Linked DNA regions of Drosophila melanogaster. The protein of the gene in region 1 interacts with the protein of each later gene in a pairwise test. Each region holds a gene or a part of one and is shown in the gene's direction. Other genes may lie near its edges. The genes, in order: Rrp47 and DNaseII.

Region 1 (11,489 bases):
GGAGATCAAGCTATGGGAGATCCAGGCGCTTGTGGACTTCATGTACAAGGGAGAGGTCAATGTCACGCAAGCCGGTCTTGGCCAGTTGCTTCGCTGTGCCGAACAACTGCAGATTCGCGGTCTATACGGCTCTGAGGCACCGATAAACTACAAGAAACTCCAGCAGGCGAGTCTCGAGGCTGCTAAGGATCCAGCTGCAACCACAGCGCGAAGCTTCAAGCATGTGGACAGCGCGGAAACGGACGATGCAGCCACTAATTCAACCACCTCAACAACAATGACCACCTCCTCCGCTCCACCGCTACCGGTTAACCATCAGCAACCCACAGTATTGAAGCGCCAGAATCCCGATGCTCGGCAGCAGCAGCAACAGCAGCAGCAGCAGCAGGTGCAGCAGCGACCCCAGATAAATGGCAGTAATGCTCAACAGCCATCTAAGGCCACCTCTACGAACGTTTTGGGCAGCCACTCGAATGCACCAACCGAGGATGACTCCGGCGACGAGGTGCCGAACAATTGGAATGCCTACGGGGAGCAATTCGATGATTGCAATATATCTGCGCAAGCCGTTGACAACAAAATGAATGTCCACCTATCCCTGCAGCAGGCGAGGTTTGTTTTTGCATTAATATGACAAGTATCTCTGGATAAATATATATATCTTTTCACAGGATGCAAATGCAGCTTCAGCAGCAGCAATACTTGGATTCAAATGTTGAGGACGACCACAACTATGTGGCCGCTCATGATGAAAACAATGACAGCAGTTTTGCGACAGGAGTGCCATGCGGATCCGGGCTATCCCTCAGCCTTGACACTGATCTCGATACATCGGCCAATACTTCCGGAGGACTGAGCCATAGCTCGATCGATGGTTATACTTCATATAAGCGCGTTCGACGTTCAGAAGCATCTCTAGCACAAGCGGCCAAATGTGTTTCGAAGGGCGAGACATTCCAAACTGTCAGCAATATGTTCAATATTCCTGTCTCAACCATTCGTTTCTATATGGCGCGAAAAGGAATTCTTCCGAAGCGGAAACGTGGACGTGGTGCTTCCCATGCCGGAAACATAATAATCACAACAAACTCAGGAAAACTCTCAACCGTCCCAGCGAGCATAACTCATCCCCCAGCCCATCCGCATATCCACACCAATCCCCTTCCTCACACGCAGTCTCAGCAAATGTCCATGGACAGCCTACATCTCAAGGCGGGCATCGCAAATACCAGTGGCAGCAATAGTCCGGCAACTGCAACGGCAACGTCTATGTCACCATCATTTGATATGGCCACAACAGGTGATATTGTGCCTTTTCACCTCCATAGCGATGCGGCGGCATTCAAACTCAACGATCAGAAGCTGCACATGATCTAACCACGCAATTTGCCAAGTTGTGCTGTACTAGTAGGGCGTGTATTAATAGAGAGGGATTTCCAAGCAGTAGCTGCTTTCTTTCATTTCGGGGTACGCATCGGCTCGTGTGGGATCTTTAGTCATAACATAGTCAACAAAATACAATTTATACATAGGTTTACTTAATTACGCTTTGGAGATGCCACAGTTTTATCCTTGGTTGAAAAACTCTTGCCGTTCAATCATTATTCATTTTACTTTGGCAATCATAAGAAATTACAGTAGATGTATGCTATCAACAAGGATTATGACTAAAAACTTGCGTAAAAATTTCAATTATGTTTCTTGTCGCCCCAGTACTTTAAGGAATTACTGTATTGTTAATAAGATAAATAAAATCGACCTGGAAACTTTTACTGGGTATTCGTGTGATTGCAAAGATAAGATGAAAATTTATAATAAACTCGAAGGTCGTAAAAGACATAATCATAATGCTAACAGCTTAAACTAAATAATAATGTAAAGTAATTATTATTGGTCAAATACATCCGATCTATTTTAAAACCATGTACTTTTCCTACAAGAATACGCAAATCTTCAATACTTGCTTACAATTACTCGGTTTGTTTGTTTGCTTATTTTTTTTGGTCATTATAACAATTGGCCATAAATGCAAGAATCCCAATAATAAATTACGTTGTGAAAGTATTATTAAATACATAAGTACTGTGTACGAGATGATTGGGCAATAAAAGTTTAAATGCATTCAAAGTAACAACAATTTTTTTTTTGCTAAATTTATTATTTGAAATTTGTACTGTTACTGTCAATCATTTTTTTTTTATATTTGTACATATGTATGTAGATTAGCACAGTGCAGGCGCAGAATGTTGAAGTGGAAACGGCGCTTTTTGAATACTTCTCATAGAATCTATTTCTTTTCATGTTCAATCAACGGTCACACTGTAAGCCTAAGCCAGATATAAACATTCGCACGCGATTTTAATTCCATTTAAAGAACATGGCTCAAGAAAATCAAGCTGTCGACAATGGACTGCCCTGCAACGCTTACCTGGACACAAGCCTGCGAGAGGACGAAAACATGCAACACATCCTGAAAACCTTTTACAGCAGCATCGAACTCCTGGAAGCCGACACGGAGAAGGCACTGGCGCTACAGGCAGAACGCACATTGAACACAAATGAACAAATAAAATTGGATAGCTACCTTGTGTACTTGAACAGCACACTGTTTTTCATATACCTGAAACTGCAGGGTGAAGATGCCTCAAATGTGAGTGCAATATATACACAATACACAATTCACATGGCGACAATTATCATTTAATGATTCCATTTCAGCATGCTGTGATGCACGATTTGCGTCGTACAAGGGACCTACTTGCCCGCGATAAGAAAATAAACGATGCTCTAGCGGCGCCAAGACTGGATATGCCCGCTGCCAAGCGATTTATCGCAGCTGGAACCCACACACGATTTGTGGACATGAACGGAGTTATGGTCTCCGAAAAACAATATAATAAAAGCAAGCAAGAAACTCCCAAATAATTAAAATCACAAAGTGTTGATTCTATAGTATAGCAGCCTAAAAGGATCATTTGCCTTTGTTTCGTCGTTACGCTAGACAATGACAGTTGTATTAAAAAATGTATAGAAAACACGATATTTTCTTACTGAACCATCCAAAACACAAGCGTCACAAGCAATCGACTCATCAAAGAAGTCAAGTTAGTACACCTTAATGAAACTGGGTTTACAAACTGAAACTGTTTGTTTTTTAAATGAATATCAACAACGTTCTGTATATGAATAAACTAATCTAGGTAAAAATGAAAACGAAGAAAAATGAAATCAGAATTATTTGTATGAATATGGCAGCATTCTGCCATTTATTCTGGGCTTCCTAGATTCCAAGACCGCGTCGTAACAACGTCTTCCCCCAATGTTTATCGCCAATTTTTTGTGCATGCAGGACAAAAATGATTATATGTACCTTTTCGACGACAATTCCTTCCTGTGGATAAGGCCAGTTGGAGAGGCACAACTTTCCGAGGTGCTGGACCCTTCGCCCTTTCGAAGACTACAGCAAATCTGCGAGGCGTCCCACCCGCAGGATTCCTCGCCTTTATTGTATAAAAAGCTCCTGCGTACCGTTCGTTCGTCTAGCTCCTTGCCCCATCCTTTGTCATGCCCTTGATCAGTCAAGTCAAGACGGTATAGATTCTATCGCCAAAAGGTGCTTCAAAATCTGATACTGCTGCTTACCTCATAGATTAAGATTTTATTGTTGGGACTCGGCTTTCCAAATGATATATACAAAAACAAAAAAAAAAAAAAAAAATGTTTGGAGCAAATCCTAAAGGTGTCGTTTCTGGAGCACATTGAGTGTAAATGTCAAAAATAGTATTGAAGAAGATCAAAGTTCAAATCATTGACTAATTAAAAATAGTATTGCATAGGAACAATGTTAAAATATCGCCTACTTATTATCCAGCACTTAAACAAGATACTATATACATATGTATATATATTTTTTTAAATTTCTTTAATGCCTCTTTTAAATTAGGATATAGTTGATTAATAAATCAATATTAACAAGAGAGAATGCTATAGTCGAGTTCCCCGTCTATCAGATACCCTTTACTCAGCTAGTGCTCTATTTCTGAAAGTTACTTTTTACCTTATGTATATTACCTTATATATTTGTGATCCTGGTTTTCAGAGACATTTGACAAGTAGCGAAGGAGATGAGAAACGGATGCAGTGGTCCAACAATGGTTGGAATCGACGTGCGATTCTGGGAATCATTGCTGCGAAATATTTTTAAACTCAGCATAGAAGAAAGCCCTGGTCACCCTAATGAAGACAAATGGATGTTGTAAAGCTGGAAAATAATTTTAATTCGTACGTTTCATTCTAAATGGCTTAATTTACGGTACAATACGATATATTACTGATGTTTCAAAACCGATAAATTAACATTAGCATTGTCCTTAACTTTATGTTGATCATATTCATACTTTAACCATACAGATATTAATATTTCCGATTTATTTTTTCTCCGCTTTCATGTTTTCACGTTTTCTTGAATTACTTTAATTATTTTTTATGTATATAGCGTTTTTGTTATTCATTCCATTTGGTTTTTTTTTTCGTTTTTTGGTTTTTTGGTTTTTTGGTTTTTTCCATTTTTTAAGATTATTGAACGAGAACTGGCAATATAGCCCAAAATTTTCTATCAGTCGGTGTAAGATTGCCCCAATAAGGGGGTTTTTTAAAGCCCGGGCTGGGCCCAGTGCACAATTGTATTTTTCCTGCCGCTTATCCGTGACCATCGAAATGTTCAAGTTCTCTACACGTCCAGCAAAGGATCGTATAATTTACTAACTAGCATAAATATTAATTTTCATATTTACAGCTGCGTTTTGTGTTTATTTTTATTTTTGTCTTTTTGGTTTTGTTATTTATTCTTTTTTGTGGTTTTCTGTTTACGGTCATTGTTTTTTGTTTTTTGGTTTGTTTTGTATTTTATTTTATTTTTTTTGAAAGATTTTCCTACTCGAACATTGGCATTCCATTGCTTGGTCCGAGGTATGCAAAAAATATGTAAATATTTCCCAATTTTTAATTATTTATTTCGTTAATGCGGTTGCTGTTGTTTTCGGTTTTGGTTTTGGTTAGCTTTTGCTTTCATTTTTCGGTTTTTGTTGTCTCTCATCATTATACGTATCATTATACGATTATGAATATAAATTGGGATGCACTCACTTAATAATTGTTATTAATCTATGAATAAAGTATGGCTATTTATTTACCACTCACACATAAGAATACACATTTTTGTTGCTTGTTAAGTTTGTTTTTCCATATTCATTTCCATTTTCCCATTTTCCATTTTCCATTTTCCCATTTTCCAGTTTCCCATTTCCATCTCGCTTCAATTTGTGTGCTAACTTTTACTCCGCTCCATTTTACGTTAACTAGTTTGTTTTGTTTTGGTTTTTGTCTGCTGTCTTCACATTTACATTTATTTACTTAACTACTTAGGGCTAAATTCATTTATTTATGTGCTTATACACGAGCAACGTATTGGTAACTATGCTAAAGTAATCATAAAGGTCGATACAAATTTCATTTATTTAGAGAGAAAGCTAGCTGCGCGCTGGCTCCGGGCACATGTGAGTGGAGTGGGCGTGGCTGATTGTTGATCTATGCGCGATTTCTGATGCAGTATGGACCGCATGGATCGCATGGATCGCATGGATCATATGGACCATGAGGATGATCTTCTCTATCATATAGATAACAATATCAATGCTTATATTCCGGGTAGCAGCCATTCTCGATGATTTGTTCGGACTGACTGTTGTTGCTGCTGCTGGTATCGCCTGATTGCTGCGGATGATGATGCTGATGCGGATGCTGCTGATAAATTGGCAGCTGAAGGAGCTGCAATTGCTGCTGATGCTGACTTAGTGCCGCCGTGTCTGCCGCCGCTGCTGCTGCTGCCGCCGATTGCAAACCGCGACGAATGGGCGGCTGGATAACACTTCCACTGCTTTCCGTTTCCGTTGAGGGCGGGGATGGATAGTAGTCCCTCTGACTTACACTTATACCATTTGGGACGATTGGCAAAGCCATTATAGAACTGTTGGCCACCGATGTCGCCGCTGCCACTCCCGATCCCGATCCCGCTGCCGCTGCGGAGGATTGATGATGATCGCCGTGGTGCTGATGCGGATGCTGCTGCTGCTGCTGCTGCTGCTGCTGCTGATGCGGATGCTGCTGCTGAGCTATAGCCCCCGAAATGGGTCCGACGTCGATGTATGGTTGGGAATCCGACATTGTACCGGATGGCGGCTGGTCCAATACCACGACGGATACCACATCCTCACTCGCCCACCGGGCTAACTGTTGTTGAGCTTGAATAAAGTCATCACTAGAAAATAATAATCGTAGCAGGAACAACGGCACATGGTAAGAAATCAAACGGGGGCCATCGAGGAAGCGGATTCGGATTGGGATTGGAATCGGAATCGGAATTGGAATTGGTCTAGATGGATAAATGGTATGGTCACATGCTACGTCTAGTTCTCAATCGAGCTATTCAATTTGAATTACACATCTAAACAATCAATCAATGGGAAACTATCCATAAACTAGAAGTTACAGGCCAATTGGGTTGGGGAAACTGTGGGTGTGGAGGATCATCATATGTGGGCATAAATCAAATGCTACAAACTGCTGAGCTGGTAATAAACGATGCATCAGCAGCAGATCGTCTTGGTTCAAATGGAAGAGCTCCTGAACTGAAGGGTTCTCTGAACATTATATATTATATCTTATCATATCATATCATATCAAATATGTGATCGCTCAGCTGGCTGCATCGTTTACGTGGTCAGGATAGTGGATTATGGCCTGGCAATGGAACCAAGAGACAGTAATAGTGACTCAAACCTACCTCTCGCTATCTGGTGTCTCGTGGCAGTCGAGTCGAGCGTCGACCACCTGGCGTTCGTGGTGGTCAGCGGTCTCGTAGATGCCCTCGTCCTCCTGCTGCAAATGGGTGTGCGATGAGTGATGGGACGAGTGTGGACCGTGCGTGGCATGTCCATGGGCATGGGAGTGGTGCGTATGATGTCCGAATGCGTGGGGTGAGTGCGACTGGTGCGGCGCATGGCGTCCAGATGATGCCGGCTGTCGGTAGCGTCCACCGAATGTGAATCGGGACTCCTCATCGGAACGGGGACGACAGCTTCTGCTGTAAGACGCATGAATTGTAGCGGTTTTCTGAGATTGTGGTATTTGCTGATTGGAGCTATAGGCGATAAGGATAAGAAAAAAAAGGCAAGCAAATAATCAAATTATTCAGTGGCATGGGAGTTTATGGATTTGCTGCTTTTCGGACTTGGGACTTGGGATTTTTTTTTTTTTTTTTTTTTTTTTTTTTTTTTTTTTTTTGGAAATTTATTGAATTATTATGGTTCTGCTATGTAGAAACGATAGGCAAACGAGATTTGGACTGAGCCTGAAACCGAGACCAAAACAGAGACCGATAGCCATGAGGAGAACTTAAGAGCAATGTCAAACGCATCTATTACAATGCAAATTGTTGTTGTTGTTGTTGTTGTTTTAGTTGTTGTCGTTGTTGTTGTTGTTGTTTAAAAAGAGATGTGCAAGTGATTACGTAATAGTAAATAGGAAAACGATGTGAAGTCAAGACCCTTAAGAAATAAGATCACAAGATCAAGATGGTAGTAAGTTACATAAGTTAGCTAGTTAGAGGGGCAACCAACCTTTATCACACAAGGTATTCCAGCCTGAAGCCTGCAAGAAATGCGAATATAAATTGGCATTGGCTTGAATTACATTTTAATATACTGCAGTTACAAACAAGCAGTGGCTTTCATGCCTTAATGGTAGTAGGTTAGGTCAGTAGTTTTCGATTTTAAAATAACATCATGAGTGGTTTATATATGCTTTTTGATGAGTATATGAGGCTTTAGTCTTCGGTTAGTTGTTTGTATGAACATGTGGAGATACTCTCAAGCCATCGAATATATTATATTGGGTTATTAATCACTTGCTCTACGATTTAGTTTAGTAGTGGGTAAATTGGAAATTTTGGTATCACATAGATTGACTATTGGAAACTTAAAACGCGTTGACTATTAAGAATACGGTTGGTTAATGGGAAGCAACTGTTCACTGCCTACGTTCATTACCATGTTACAAAGCGCAATACAGATAGTAGGTGTTAAAAACATCTAAGAAATTATGAATTATATATTCATAGTCACAGCAGTTAGTCATTTTATATGTTGAAGTGTGTTTAAAGCGAATGTGCGATTTCTCGATATTTTAATATCTCGATTGCTCGATTAGTTCGATTGGTTCGATCGATTGTTTGATGTGGACGAGACAAGGACAAGACAAGGACAAGACAATACAAGACAGGACGAGACAAGACAGAACAGAACAGAAGAGAAGAGAAGAGAACAGGACAGGCTTTTCGGGTGTCTGACTGACTCGGTGCCAATACTTAAAGAGGTTTACGGTGATTAAGTTCTGAAGCAGAAAATAACACTAACCCTTGAGATGACTCACTACAAGCCGCGGAACTTTCTAATCTATAGTGTCGATCGGCCTCTGTTTCCGACATTCGTATATCCTCGGATCCGCTGGGACTCATGTGACGGGACGAGTGGTGCTCTAGCTGCCTGATCAGGTCCTCCAGATTGCGTATACGCAGTGGTCCCGTCGACGGTGCATCATCGTCATCCAGCTGCTGCGGCTGCAGCGCCACCGTCGACGGCTGATGCAATTGATGCTGGGATCGATGATGGTGCAGCATGGTGCCGCCATGGCCCGGCATGCCACCCGACATGGATGTCGATCCGCCGCCGGCTCCCACGCTCGAGCCCAGTCCCATGCCGCCGAGTCCGCCGCCGCTGCCATCGAGGATGATCGCATGGACGGCGGCATTGTCGCAGATGTTCTCACGCGAACTGGACTTGGAACCAATGTTACGCTTGTACTGCTCCGCCGAATAGCCCAGCTGGGAATTGTTGCAGTCCTGCAGCGTCTTGCGCAGCATCTCCTCGCTCAGGCTGCCGCTGCCGACGGGCGTGTTTCCGGTTCCGGTTCCCCGATGCGTGGCCGCATTCCGTAGCGCCTCCAAAATGTCCTCATGATACCCATTAAGGGATTTAAGCGTCCGCTCCACCTCGGAGGCAGCCGCACCGCCGCTCGTCGACGCCAGGGTGCCGTCTTGGGTAATAAGCTCGAGGTTATCGGACTGATTGTCATCGCCCCATTTGTCTTTTAGCTGCTCACCGTGCACCAGACCGTAGCCGTGCTTCTTTAATATACCCTTCTCTGTGGCAGCCAATAATAATGCATTAGGTTTGTCGTTAGTATTTAGTTCCAATGTGCATGTAAAGGGAATATAGTACAAATTTTTCAGGTAGAGAATAGGCGCGTGACTGCAAAACAGCGATTATAGTGGGTTTGTCTTATGTGTATATACGTACGTATACTTAATTTGCACAAGAAATGTGTACCTACACATGTACATATTGTATGTATTGTAGTTATTCACTTGAACTCTGTTCGTTTGGCTAATTTCTTATGCAATTTCCATAGAGCAATTAGTTTATACTTGTGAATAGTCTTTGTCGCTTTGCAAAAAGATTCCCGATTCTTGGTCAATTGTGTGTGTGTGTGTGTGTGTGTTGTGTGCGTGTTCGTTGTAGTAAACCCTATTAAGTTTATATATTACTGATCACCATTATCATGCGAGTCGATGCAAAGTTACATAAAAATAGGTCAAATATGCTTTGGGTAACTATTTTTCAGAATTGAAAAGGGGGTAAACAATAATACTGATCAAAAGCTACTAGTTTTCTTTAAAACTATAATTTTATAATATCTTTAAAAAACAAACAGTGATATTAACATTTGAAATCCTAACACTTTCATACTTTGTTGCCTAGCTTTCGGCGTTTATACGGACGAACAGGCTGGTTTTTATACGGACAGATGCTGATCAAGAATATATATATGTACATAAAGAAGGGTCGGAAAAGTTATTATGTACTTTGTACATATTCTTCAAAGTAATATTTAAAAAGTAATTATTGAACATAAGCTTTCGATGGGTTGTGTTCCGTTGACATCAAAAGAACATAAAGTAAATAAATAAAATGCCCTTTGAATAATGTTAAAGTTACTATAATTATATCTTTATTAACGTAAATATCAAAACAGGGTATTAAAATGCCAACACAAAAGATATGTAGACAATGCTTTTCAGCCCTTTTTAGATAATTTCAATAAGATACTTAACAAGATCGACTTGGATGTTGATTCTGATCCCATATATAAATACAATAGGGTCGGAAGGGTTTTTAAAAACCTCTTTGACAAAGATTATACATATAGAATGAATTGAATTAAGCTTAAGATTCTTGAGGAAGCCCACAAATAGTTGACTAATTTTTCTCACTAAAGCTCCGACAAAAACAAAGATGAAAACTCGGGTCGCTTAAAAAGGGCATAAGAAGCTTGCTGGGAATGTGTACGTATGTATAGATAAACAACATATATGTTTGCTGAAAATAAACTTATGATTGCTATTCAATAGAGTATTAATGTCAAACAGTAACTGCAATAATAGAAGCTCTGAAGAGTACAAGCATTAAACGATTAATCAAGAGTTAGTCTATTCAAATTTAGCTCGTTAACATGGAAGGCATCTAAACTGTTAAGCGGGAAACACAAAGGAACACAAATTTATTGCAAACCGTTCTTTCATTAATATACGATTACTTAGTTTTTAGGGGGGAAATTCCCGTTCACTGTATCATGTGCAAGAACTGATGTTATCCCTAATTTCCATGAATATGTGTAAGAAATGTTGCTTTAATACCTAATGTGTCCCCTACAAGATTTAGAATATTGTTTTTTGGAAAATGAAAACTTTTCGAGGCCATAGAACGAGAACCTCCCCTAAAATACGATTACAAAAAAGTCAAAATCAGGGATTTCACTGAAATCTCAAGAGAAATAGAAAACCTCTTAAAAATCCTTTGGTGTTTCAGAGATCTGTACAGTTGTATTTTTAAATGGAATATATATTGCATTTGTATATATTATTGTATATTATATTATATTTTCGATTTCTGTGACACCGTTTTGGGACTTTTAGTCGAAATTCGAATCTGAGAGGTTTCGGTGACACCCCTTAGCCACTTTGTTTGTGAATCTAATCTAAGCACAAGTTATGTAATAATTGTAAACATAATGTATTAACCTGCATGTGACTGATCGTCCTCGCCACATGTCGTGTAGCGTCGTCCATGGATTCCCTTGTCCCTGTGAAGGATAATAATAATGAAATTGGGGCATATCATAAGATCGGTTGGTAAAGAGGAACCGAGCTACTTGCGGCGATGCTAAACGATGAATCAGCCAGCAGCTTTCAAATAGTTTTATCAAATGGTACAATCTTTAATAAGAAGATCTTAGCCCAATGATATATATTGGCAGTAAAGATCAAAGATCAAAGATCTTGTAAGCGATGCATTCAGCTTGCAAGTTTGCTGATG
Region 2 (11,507 bases), on another chromosome or scaffold:
ATTTCTAATTTTTCGATATATCAAACAGCGTAAGGGAATAAATTATGAACAAAAAGTGTAGGGAGAAAGAAAAGTATATAATTATAGCTTAACCGAATGTGCCCTTTAAATAGCTCTCTTTCTAGAATTATAAAAAAGTAATATGAAACAGAAAAAAAAAAACAACCAAAAGAAAACAATTTAAATGTATGCATTAATGTAATAATTGTATAACTAGTAAGGTAAATTTTCAAAATGTTACTCAACAAGAAAATTCTACAAAACAAACCACAACGAGTAGTCGACGTCATCGTATAAATTTAAATTTATATTGAGGAATACTGAAGAAAGCTGGTTTCGAAATTTATTTGTTACAAACGTAAGCATAACAAAATTTAAATGTGAATTTCAAATTTACCCGATAAGGACCTATCGACGACATGGGATGAACGTTGCACGTGCGCTGTAGTGAAGCAAAGACTCGAGAAAAAAACCGATTTTTAAGAAACAAGAAACCAGAAATGCTGAAACTGCTGGCACAGGACACTCCAAAACTTTCCGCCCAGAACTCTATGTTTTCTTTCGCCACTTTTGGTTGAGACTTTTCTGCGTTTCCCCTACAAAGACTTGAACTTTTACTAGAGGCCCCCAAATCTGCAGGACTTCATTTACATAGTGAGAAACTTTATTCCTAACCAACTTTCGAAATGCTAGAACAATCAAATCACATTTCTTGCTAAACCAACGATCGATTTAATGGGGTGGGGGAGGGGAGGTCGCAGAACGAGATCGTATGCGTAGGTATCGAATATCGGATACCGTGTGAGGGTGGGGAGAGTGCTTAAGAGGTAACAGCAAACAAGGACGAGTAAATAAAATCAATGGCATATCATCTTACGTAGCAAAGCATAAGTCGAGCATGTATGTGTGACTACAAAAAGCGACAAATTCTATTGTAACTAAATGCAAGAGCAGCAGAACAGCAGAAACCAACTATAATTAATTATTATAAAAACAATGTAAAGCTTAAAGGCTAACAACTATATATAGTTAAATACGAAAACAAATTGTAAGCAAGCTTTTTACATCATAATTTTCGAATGGTTTTCGAAAGAGTTCGTTCAGCCTTGTTTAAACCAATATAAGTATATATATATATACGGATAAAATCTTACATTTTTACCAAAGTTGTCCTTACTAATTAAACAAGTTATGTTAACCAATTCACACACAATTTGTTAAACAAAAACAGAAGGAACCCACGAGTAAATCAACTAATTTTAAACGTTTTTTAAAGCTTAGTTTAGTGTAAACGTGACTAGACATACCAAAGGCATATTTGAAACAAAAACCACAGTTGTTAGAAGGAAATATGAAACAAAAAGAGAAACATTTACTAATTGGTACTGTTTTAGCCCTTTTTCCATACAAATTTTCTTTAAATATTTAATTACATTATTTCCCCGTCTAACTTTAGTCGAATGTAAAATGCATATTCCGTCCAATTACATTTCGTGCTTTCCTCTTGCCCAAAAAAAAAAAAAAACATCATCTCTTCGCCAGCATCGCGTTGGTTTAAGAGGCATCATCATTCGGAGTTAAGAACAGAGGTCTACATATAAGTCTGTAATCCTAACATACACACACACACACACACGCACGCACACGCTCACCACAAAGACAAGTAAATTAGTTAAAGTTTTAGCGTGTAAGCAAGGAAAAATGTTTAATTATACATAATATACTAATGCATATCATTAAATTGCGCCTTTCAAAACAATTAAGAAAAACAAAATGCCCGACGATGGAAAACAAAAATATTTACAACTATAAATAAGCATAAATAACGAAACAAAAATCGATAGATGCTAAAGTACGAAACAAATATTTTCGAAATTAATTTTTAGCGCCTAAGTGTGGTCGACGAGCCCAAAAGTATGCAACAAAAGCAATGGAAGTACGCATAAGTGTGTGAGTGTGCAAAAGTGTGTGTGCGTGTGTGTGCGTGTGTGCATCTGGGAAAATCTTGTGCAATTTTCATTGAAGATAGTAAGCGATAAGAAGAGGGAAAACCAGCGCGTTGGCAAGGTTGTTCAGTCCCCACCCCCAAATAGAAAAAAAAACCATTTTGAGGCTTGATTTCCAAACATTCTTTAAGCTAAATTTCATAGCTCTATATACATCCAGATTTTACATATCTGCAGCATGCAAATATTAAACTAAAAATTGGGAATATCTCGAAAACACAACAGAAGATGAAAACCTAGCTCGTTAGGGATAAACTAGAGAATGCTAAAATGAATGACAGAAAAACTAAACTAAACAATATGAATTATGGGAACATTATATGAATATATACATACGCATATATTAAAACATTTTTGAAACAAAACGAAAACCTAATAATAATTACAAATGATGGAAAAAATAACAAATACATATCAGCAAAACGGATAAAGAAGAAAACTTTTACAAGCAACATTATTAAGGAACATAAAACCGATATGTTTTGATGTGGTTTTTAAATTTTTAAACATTGTAAGCGCAAAAAGGCAGAAAGCAGTTACCAAAAAAAAAAAATTAAGGGGGAAGCAAGCATAACTGATTGAAAGCTTAGTAATAGATTACGGAACTACTTACATAATGCCTAGCTATATGCTTACCTAGTAATGTCATATCTAAATACATATGTGGCAGCAGTAATAGCAAGACAGTAAAAGTAACAGTAAAAATAACGATAAAAATCAGTAACAGTATATATCCTACTCTATTGTATTTATTGTACGGCTATAATTTGTGTATCGAAAATCTTTGATTGATTGATTTCTATTTAGTTTAAGTTGCCTCCGAAATTGCCTTATGTTTGCCTAAAAAAAAAAATAAAACTAAAAATTTAAATTACCAACAATTTAATACTAATTTCTAAGTAATTTATATGTATATGTATGGTATACCTCTATGATAAACCCTTATATAAATATACTTATATCATTTGTGTAGCCTTAACTTAGAACTTTTCAATTGACGGTATTAATTACGCATAATAAAACTTTATATTTTGTTCGTTAAACAAACCCATTATTGTTTCACTCAGTTCCAAATCTCACACAACCAAGCGATAAACCTTTGAAGAAACGAATTTTGAATTAGTGACAATTTTTGCAAGAAAATTAAAACCAACTATACAATTACATATATTAATACCACATATATGCATCGCTCTCCCCATTTCAAGTTTTGAGTCATTTGCGGGAGAGTCAACTAGAATGGCATTGTACTCAACCTGGTAGGTCTGAGAAAATCGCTGTATATTTGTAATACTTAAATACTATGCATATCTATATCTTATACAGACAGACATATGTATAGTATCTTTAGAGGGTTAAGTAGGAAAGGTAACTGATATTGAATATTGAAAATATCAAGGCAGAGAAAGGTATCGAAATACCGGCAGATAAATGAAGATAACACAAGTCAAAACATATCAAACTCGTGCCCGATTAAAACTATATATACACATATATATACACTATATATATATATATATATATATATATATATTAATGAAAAGCAGGCGCAAATTAGGCGCAGCAAATTTCAAAAATAACAAAGAAGGAGAATGATAAAATTATTAAATATGCCGAAAGTCTAACGGGAAATGCAATTTTATTTGCATAACTCAACAGTTGAGTCTACTTTTATCCGTAAATAATACGAAAATAATGATTAATATTAATTGAGATATTAAAAGTAAAAAAAAAAAAATACAAGAAATGGCAAGTATTTGTCTATTTTGAGGCTCATTTATTTAACATTTTCGCGAAACCAAGTACGACCTTCTTTTTTCAAATCGAATAAAGATCTTTGCTAATATTGTAAAAAACAAATTGATTTTTCAAGCAAATGAAAACCAAAACGTATAGCTAAATATTATTATAAAACTTACATAAAACAGAAACAAAACTCGTATATATATATATATAAATATAAATATCAGCCTTGTTCTTTATATATATATTTGAAAAACCAAAAAAATGAAAAACCATACAAAATATTAATAAATTATTAACAACTATGAAAAAATTGATACAAAAAAAAAAAATACATAAAAAATATTTAGCGAAAATATTGTATTGTGAGTTTAAATGTATTGTTGCATACGAAACCAAAGAAATGACATAACAAATCGGTACACCTAAGTTAAATATAAATCTAAATGGCAATACCAACCGATTGGCAAAACAAAAAGAAAAAAAAACATAATATCATCTGATAATATCATATCAGATCGGATCAAAGCAGATCAGAGGAAATTCGAAACAGAATGAAAGGTGAACCATTTTTTCACAGACAGCCACCAGCGATAAGAACTAACGAAGTTGAATTCAATTAATTTACCAGACAGTTTATTTCCAATATAATTCAATATTAGCAGATGGGCTCGCCCGCCCGCAAGACAAATTATACAATTTGATAACGATAATATTTTCATGCGATCACGATCGAGGAGGAAAGCACAAACGATATGCCCTGCAATGCAAACGGGGAAAAGAGCAACAAATTGCAGTTTTCAGCAGGCGACAAATTATAATAATACAATACGAATAATAAATAAAAACTTTAACAATTGTTTTGTGTAATTGTAAAGAAGTGGAGTTCTTTTCACCGCCAGTGGGATGAATGGGATGTTTATGTGATGATGGTGAAATGGGTAAGTATTTATAATATGTTACAGATTGGACAAGATTCTTAGTAGTTTCTTATAATATCCATAAAAATGAAGTCAAACATATTTAGTAGAGTATAATATATTCGTTGTAGCCGCATTTAGTGCGCTTGGCTTATCAGCGACCTCTCTGTTCGACTGATCTTTTGCAATAAGTGGCTGACCCCTCAGATAGCAGACAACGTGGCGATAGGCTGTGTTAAAAACCCAAACACGACCAAATATTTACAAATCCAACTTTTAGATAAAACAGACAAACAGCAAGGATCTCAGTTTTCACTCGATTCAAGCGTTTTTACCTGGTGAAGAAATCGAAAAAGATTAAGATGGATTTCAATTTGCGACTGAGACACCCTGTATGAGCACAGCCGTTGATTGGATTGGATTCACTGACACTTATTTAGTTGTTTTCCGGCCGAGCAACTTGAAGGTTGTACAATGCGATCTCTGTGCTTCGTTTTGCTGTTCGTTTGGTTTTTCTACCAAAACGAAGCTAAGTCTAAGGTTTCCTGTAAGGATGAAGCTGGAAACGATGTAGATTGGTAAGTATTTCGATTAACAGATCAAACAATAAATAGTTTAGTTCTTAAAACATTACTAAATGTGCTTATTAGAAAAGTTACTTATAAATATTGGCCTTTCACATACTTTTTCATTTATCTGCAGTCGCTGTTTGCATATCATTAACAATTTGCAAACACAACGTATTTTAGTTATTTATATACACTGCTGTATTGAGATTATTCTAAAAGAGGCGATAAACAAATTGAATATGATGAGTTCAAGTTCAAGCGGAAAAATTGATAATAATTGTACAATACTGTGTGACAAGAAATTAAAAAGTAATTAGTGTGTTATTTTGTTTCCTAAAATGAGAGATTTAAATCAAAGTTGTTTGCTACAAACAAACTTAATCAATTTGATAACAATAACATCATTTTTAATACTTTTCCATTTCCAAAAATAGATTAAATGGTAATTATTTTTTTTTTTTAATATCTTAAAAACAAATTTCCAAAGATTGAGGGGTTTTCTCGATGAGATAAACATGTTTTTAATTTATTTAATAATTTTTTTTCAAATATTCCTTTATAATTTTAGGTGGCACCTTTACAAACTGCCCAAGCACTACCAGCACAACGATTTGGGCAAGGACACCAGTGGCTTGAAGTACCTGTACGTGACCAGCCAGAACTATGACACCTGGCAGATGTCGGGAAAGTTCATTAGTGATCCCCTATCGCTGCCTGCCCAGACCCTTAACCCCTTGAACGACGATCCCAGCCACACTCTGCTGGCCGCCTACAACGATCAACAGCCGAATGGCACGGTTTTCAGCAGCGGTGGTCATGCCAAAGGAGTGGTGGCCAGTGATGGGGAGACGGCTATTTGGATTGTCCACTCGGTGCCCAAATTTCCAACAATTCCGGACTACAGCTATCCCACATCCGGCGAGCAGTACGCACAGAGCATGCTCTGCGTCACACTGAAGGGCGAGGATTTGGAGAAGGTTGGTCAGATTCTGGTGTACAATGAACCGCACTTCTACTATCAACGCAACCCGCTGGCCACTCGCTCCGATGAGCTGTTCCCGAGCCTGGAAAGGGCTCTGCATGGTCAGTGGCGGACGGAATCACCGTTCCAGAAGGACTTGGAGGTGCGCAGCTTGGACGGCAAGAAGTTCCGGCTGTTTGGCAAGAGTGGACGCGCCAATGTGGAGCTGTACGCCGATGTGGTCGCACCCACTCTGGATGTCAGTCTTTTTGTGGAGGCGTGGCGCGACGGTGCCGGCAACTTACCGAATAGCTGCGATAAGTCCGATAAGGTTCTCAATGTGGAATCCATTTCCAATCCGGAGCTATCGGTGGACTTTAAGACCACACAAGATCACTCCAAGTGGGCGGTATCTCGTCCCACAGGCATTTTGATCTACCATTGGCGAGTTGGCGGCGGAGATTGGATTTGTGTGGGCGACATCAACCGGCAAGAAGGTCAGTTGCATCGTGGTGGTGGAACCGTGTGCCACAAGAGCGCCAGGGTATCCAATCTGTACCGCCAACTGGTCACCAACTACGACAAGTGCGCCCAACAGGAATAGAATCTGAACTAACTAAGACTATTTGTAAAGTTGCGTCAACAATTAAATAAACACCATTTTTGCATTACATTTAATGCATAAGAAAATTGAAAGATGTTGAAAAGAGGTATTATTTATACAAAGAACTTATTTGCATTTGTTATAGATAATATATAATAATTTAAATTTTAAATTTAAGGCGCCGTGCAACTTCTTTTCTTTTTCTTTCTGCTCTTTTCCGGACACTCGCTAGCGCCATTTCTTCAACGCACTCTTGTCGTACATTTTAGGTACTAAAAAGCGCATTGAAAACTAGGTGGCGCTCGTACTTAAACTTTTCTTAATTCTATAGCTGTTGCTAAACTATTTGCCAAAAAAAAAAAACATTGAAATATCAACAAACATGTATAAATTATTTACAAATGTGTCAATTGCATTTGGTTGCATCTAATTATTCATTTATAGCGCCACCTATCCGTCACTCTTCTACCCATTATTATCACATATACCAGAAAATGCAAATTCAGTATGACCATCAGCTGGAAAAAGAGCACAGCTGTTTACAAAAACAAAACCAAGCGAAGAAGCGAAAATTATTGGCGATTTTTAAAAATCCAAATTAAAACTAGATTCGGAGTCGGAAAACCTTCATAGATTTGGGAATGTTCTGCTGCCTACGCACCTGTCTCAATGGTGGACACATAAGGAAACCGACGGCAACCAGTCGCCTGCGGGAGCCCGATGTTCACCTGGATGCAGCGCATATGGGTAAAATTACACTAAATTCAGAAGGATTAAGATACACTATCCTTAAAATGGTCAACTGAAGCGATTGCGAGAGAACTAATGTGTTTTTCCAAAAGATATGTAGCTTCGATAATAAGTGATACCCCAATAAAGATATCAACATTCCCAATTTTATCGCACAATTCAGATACGTGATCAGATATTAATATATATGTACATACAATAGAAGTGCTTATATTCTCATTCAACAGGCTTAACCATCTTGTATCTTACTAATAATATGTATATCATATCATCCATTTGGCAGGACCTGATGTAATCCTGCTGTCACACCAACTGCGCGTAACGGGCACTGGCGGCGTCCTGGCCACGGCGCCTTTGGTCCAATCGAAGTCCTACTTCGAGGTGAAGATCCAGCACGGCGGCAGCTGGTCGGTGGGCTTGGCAACGCGTCAAACGGATCTCAGTCGCAAGAGCGGCGGCGGGGATCGAGAGTCCTGGTGCCTGTGCTCCGATAATGCCACACGCCACAATGACCGCGAGGAGTTCCGACCAGTGGTGCAGTCTGCTTGCACCACTCAGCCAGCGAGGACGAGCAATGGTATCCTGAACAATAGCGCTGCCAAAGCGGCCGGACTCATTGCCATCGAGGATTTGCAGCAGGAAGATCTGCTGATGACCACTGGAGTGGCATCATCCGATGTGGATATCGGTGATTCGTTGATAGCATCGCCACAGCGAGATTTTCCCGATGAAGGAGACATTGTGGGCGTCGCCTTTGACCACGTGGAGCTGAATTTCTACTTCAATGGAAAGAATCTGGAGGTTCCATTTCGAAATGTACGAGGAGCAGCACTATTTCCCGTCATTTATGGTGAGTTTTCGTACTCTTAAGAGAAGCTTATCACCATAATTAACCTAATTTTTTTAGTGGGCAATGGCGCCATTCTGGACATTATCTTGGATAATTTTTCACACGGACCACCACCAGGATTCGAACGCATTCTATTGGAACAGTCACTTCTTTAGATAGTCCACACAAAAGCCTTGAACAAATTAGCAGCATGAGAACAAAGCATTAACAAGAATAACTAAAAGACGGTGCATTTTAGGACTTTAGGAACGCATTTCATTCAAGTAATTTTTGTGGCACTTTCTCTGCCAATGCGGACAACTACCTTTAAAAAAAATGAAATACATTATTGTCTAGTAACACTTTATTTATTTAATGTAAAAGTTAAGTTACAAGAATGACATTTTAAATATGCATTCTAGATTAAGTTTTAAAATGCGAACTTTCAGTATAAAACAAATTATTTACACATTTTAGTTTTAGTTTTAGTTATTCCTTTGCCATATTTCTTCTCTAGTCAAAAAGAAAAGTTCCCAAGCTGAATTCTATCTCACAACCAAAACAGCTATTAAATTATTTCAATTTACTTTGTACACATATCTTAATCGATTTTGTTGATTTTCACCACATATTTACTTATAGTCGTAAAATGCACTGTTCTGTTCTCATTTAGACATCAGGTGTATAAACTTTGTAAACTCTCTAGTCCTTGCACTATCCAAACCGAAAGTATTTGTATAATTTTATTAATGTTTTGTAAATTATTTACGTAGCTTGACGTAGCATTTGTATTATACACAGAGATACGCGTATCTGCATACAGATACAGATGAATTTTTTTGTAGGACTAGGTGGCCACAATTCAATTCTGACTTCATCGTACACATTCCAATTTACAACGGCAACGTACTCGAGCACGGAATTACCTAACTAAATATAAGAATATATCTGTATATCTAATAAATTGTATCTACACGTATCCAACGCTTCGAAAACTGATTAATCCGCGCGCGGACAATAAATCAATGTTATGTACTTAATCCGTTGTGTAGCAAGTTTTCCTTGTTTAGATTGTCAATTCGATTTGATTTTAGAACATTTTGGAAAACTACATTCCCAGAGAAAGGAAATTAATGGTTAAAATTAAGATATGACACATGTCCGGAAAGGGGGAGATCATCCAGATCCACATTGGCCAGGCCGGTGTGCAGATAGCCAACGCCTGTTGGGAGCTCTTCTGTCTGGAGCACGGCATTTTGGCCAATGGAAGACTAACCCAGTCGCCCATGGACGACTCGTTCCTCACGTTCTTTGAGTTCACCAGCCATCAGCCGTGTGTGCAACCTCGACTCGTCATGATCGACACGGAGCCCACAGTGATAGGTAAGTTTCCGCCAGAAGCTTGGATTGTGTCATATAAATTTTTTATCTTCCTTTCCAGATGAAATCCGTACCGGCTCCTACCGCAACCTCTTTCATCCGGATACTTTGATCACGGGCAAGGATGACAGTGGCAGTAACTTCGCCAGGGGCTACAATCTGATGGCCAGCGAGCTGTTGGATCGCTCCATGAACGCCATTCGTCGCGTGGCGGATCGTTGCAGAAATCTCAGGGGTTTCCTGGTCTTTCGAGCAATCGGCGGAGGTTCTGGTTCCGGGCTAGGGACTCGCATCATGGAGAGACTGGTCGAAGACTTTGGCAAGAAGATGACTGTTGTGGAGTTCCTCGTTTATCCTTCGCCTTCGTAAGGTATTGGCTTGGGTATGTTTTCTGCTACTCATGTGCACTTTTTTTTTTTTTTGCTCCTAGAATCTCTCCGGTTATTGTGGAACCCTACAACGCACTGCTGGCTGCCCATTTCTCCATGGACTGCGCCGATGTATCGTTTATTGTGGACAATGAAGCTCTATACGACATATGTGCTAATACACTCAATGTCCCTGCTCCCACGTATACGAATCTCAATAGGATCATCGCACAAGTGGTTTCCAGCTTTACGGCCTCACAGCGTTTTGGTGGCGGATCGACCGTGAGTTTTCAGGAGCTGCAGACGAACCTGGTGCCATATCCCCGAATCCACTATCCGCTGATCAACTACGCACCACTGGTACCCATTTCGCACTCGCAGTTCGTCAATATGTCGACGGCCCAGCTAACGGGTCAGTGTTTCCAGATGAGCAACCAAATGGTCAGATGCAATCCCTCGCATGGCAAGTACATGGCCAGTGTGCTGCTCTACCGCGGTGATATCGCACCCAATGAGATCAATACGGCGCTGGAGAACATCAAGCGGAACAGGTCTTTCCGTTTTGTCGACTGGTCGCCCACGGGCTTTAAGATCGGCGTTAGCCCCATGCCGCCGTACTATGTTCCTGGCGGCGATCTGGCGCCCACCAATCGCGCCTGCGTGGCCATCTCGAACAACACGAACATCCGGATCGCCTGGTGCCGCCTGGTCAACAAGTTCGACAAGCTCTATCAGCGGCGAGCCTTCGTCTATCACTATGTGGGCGAAGGACTCGAGGAGGGCAACTTCAACGAGGCCTCCGAGAACATTTGCCAGCTGGTGCACGACTATCTGGAGGTGGATGCATCGGCTCCCACCTCGCGACGCGACTCCGATCCGGAGGAGGACTCTCTCAACTAAAGTGTGCTCTGTATCTGACCCTTTCGTCTGCATTTTTGAATCAACGAAATTTTAATAAATTTAACGTATTGAATATTTTACTAAAGACTAATGATTGTTAAGTCTCATTAATATATAACATAAAATCTAGAAAAATCTTATCTGACAATCTTTAGCTAAATATCTTTGGAGAGTATCTTCGATTCGGTGTGCAAAGGTATCCCACAGCCCTTTTATATCTTTCTCTTTCGAGGCTTTCGTCAGCTCGAAACCGTTGCCCAAATTAAGTATTTATGGTTGGCTAAAACAAACATTGACCCAGCCTGCAATTTGCGTTGCTTGACCCCAGCGCCAGAGGGGAAAGGGGAGGGCGCGGATTATGGAGCCGATGGGCATGGGCGTGGCCAGTCGGGCCGATATGGGGTATAATTAAAATGATCGCAGCCCAGGGGCTTAGCACGTACCGAGGCAAAAGTCGCGCTTATCGCGATCGCACCC

The links.
Region 2: the proteins of Rrp47 (region 1) and DNaseII interact in a two-hybrid assay, tested with the Drosophila melanogaster proteins (one large-scale study listed by BioGRID).

What each region holds. Positions count from the first base shown.
Region 1 is NC_004354.4:15,942,679-15,954,167, forward strand, and holds Rrp47 (ribosomal RNA processing 47), read left to right. Parts: upstream 1-2,218; 5' UTR 2,219-2,377; coding exon 2,378-2,650; intron 2,651-2,718; coding exon 2,719-2,925; 3' UTR 2,926-3,571; downstream 3,572-11,489. Other genes in the region: CG8924 (uncharacterized protein), read left to right, coding at 1-612, 672-1,377; mmd (mind-meld), read right to left, coding at 5,689-6,316, 6,842-7,198, 8,472-9,258, 11,195-11,256.
Region 2 is NT_033777.3:18,014,270-18,025,776, forward strand, and holds DNaseII (deoxyribonuclease II), read left to right. Parts: upstream 1-5,105; 5' UTR 5,106-5,143; coding exon 5,144-5,247; intron 5,248-5,806; coding exon 5,807-6,803; 3' UTR 6,804-6,892; downstream 6,893-11,507. Other genes in the region: CG7785 (uncharacterized protein), read left to right, coding at 7,445-7,550, 7,837-8,403, 8,461-8,558; CG7794 (uncharacterized protein), read left to right, coding at 9,540-9,765, 9,824-10,127, 10,193-11,030.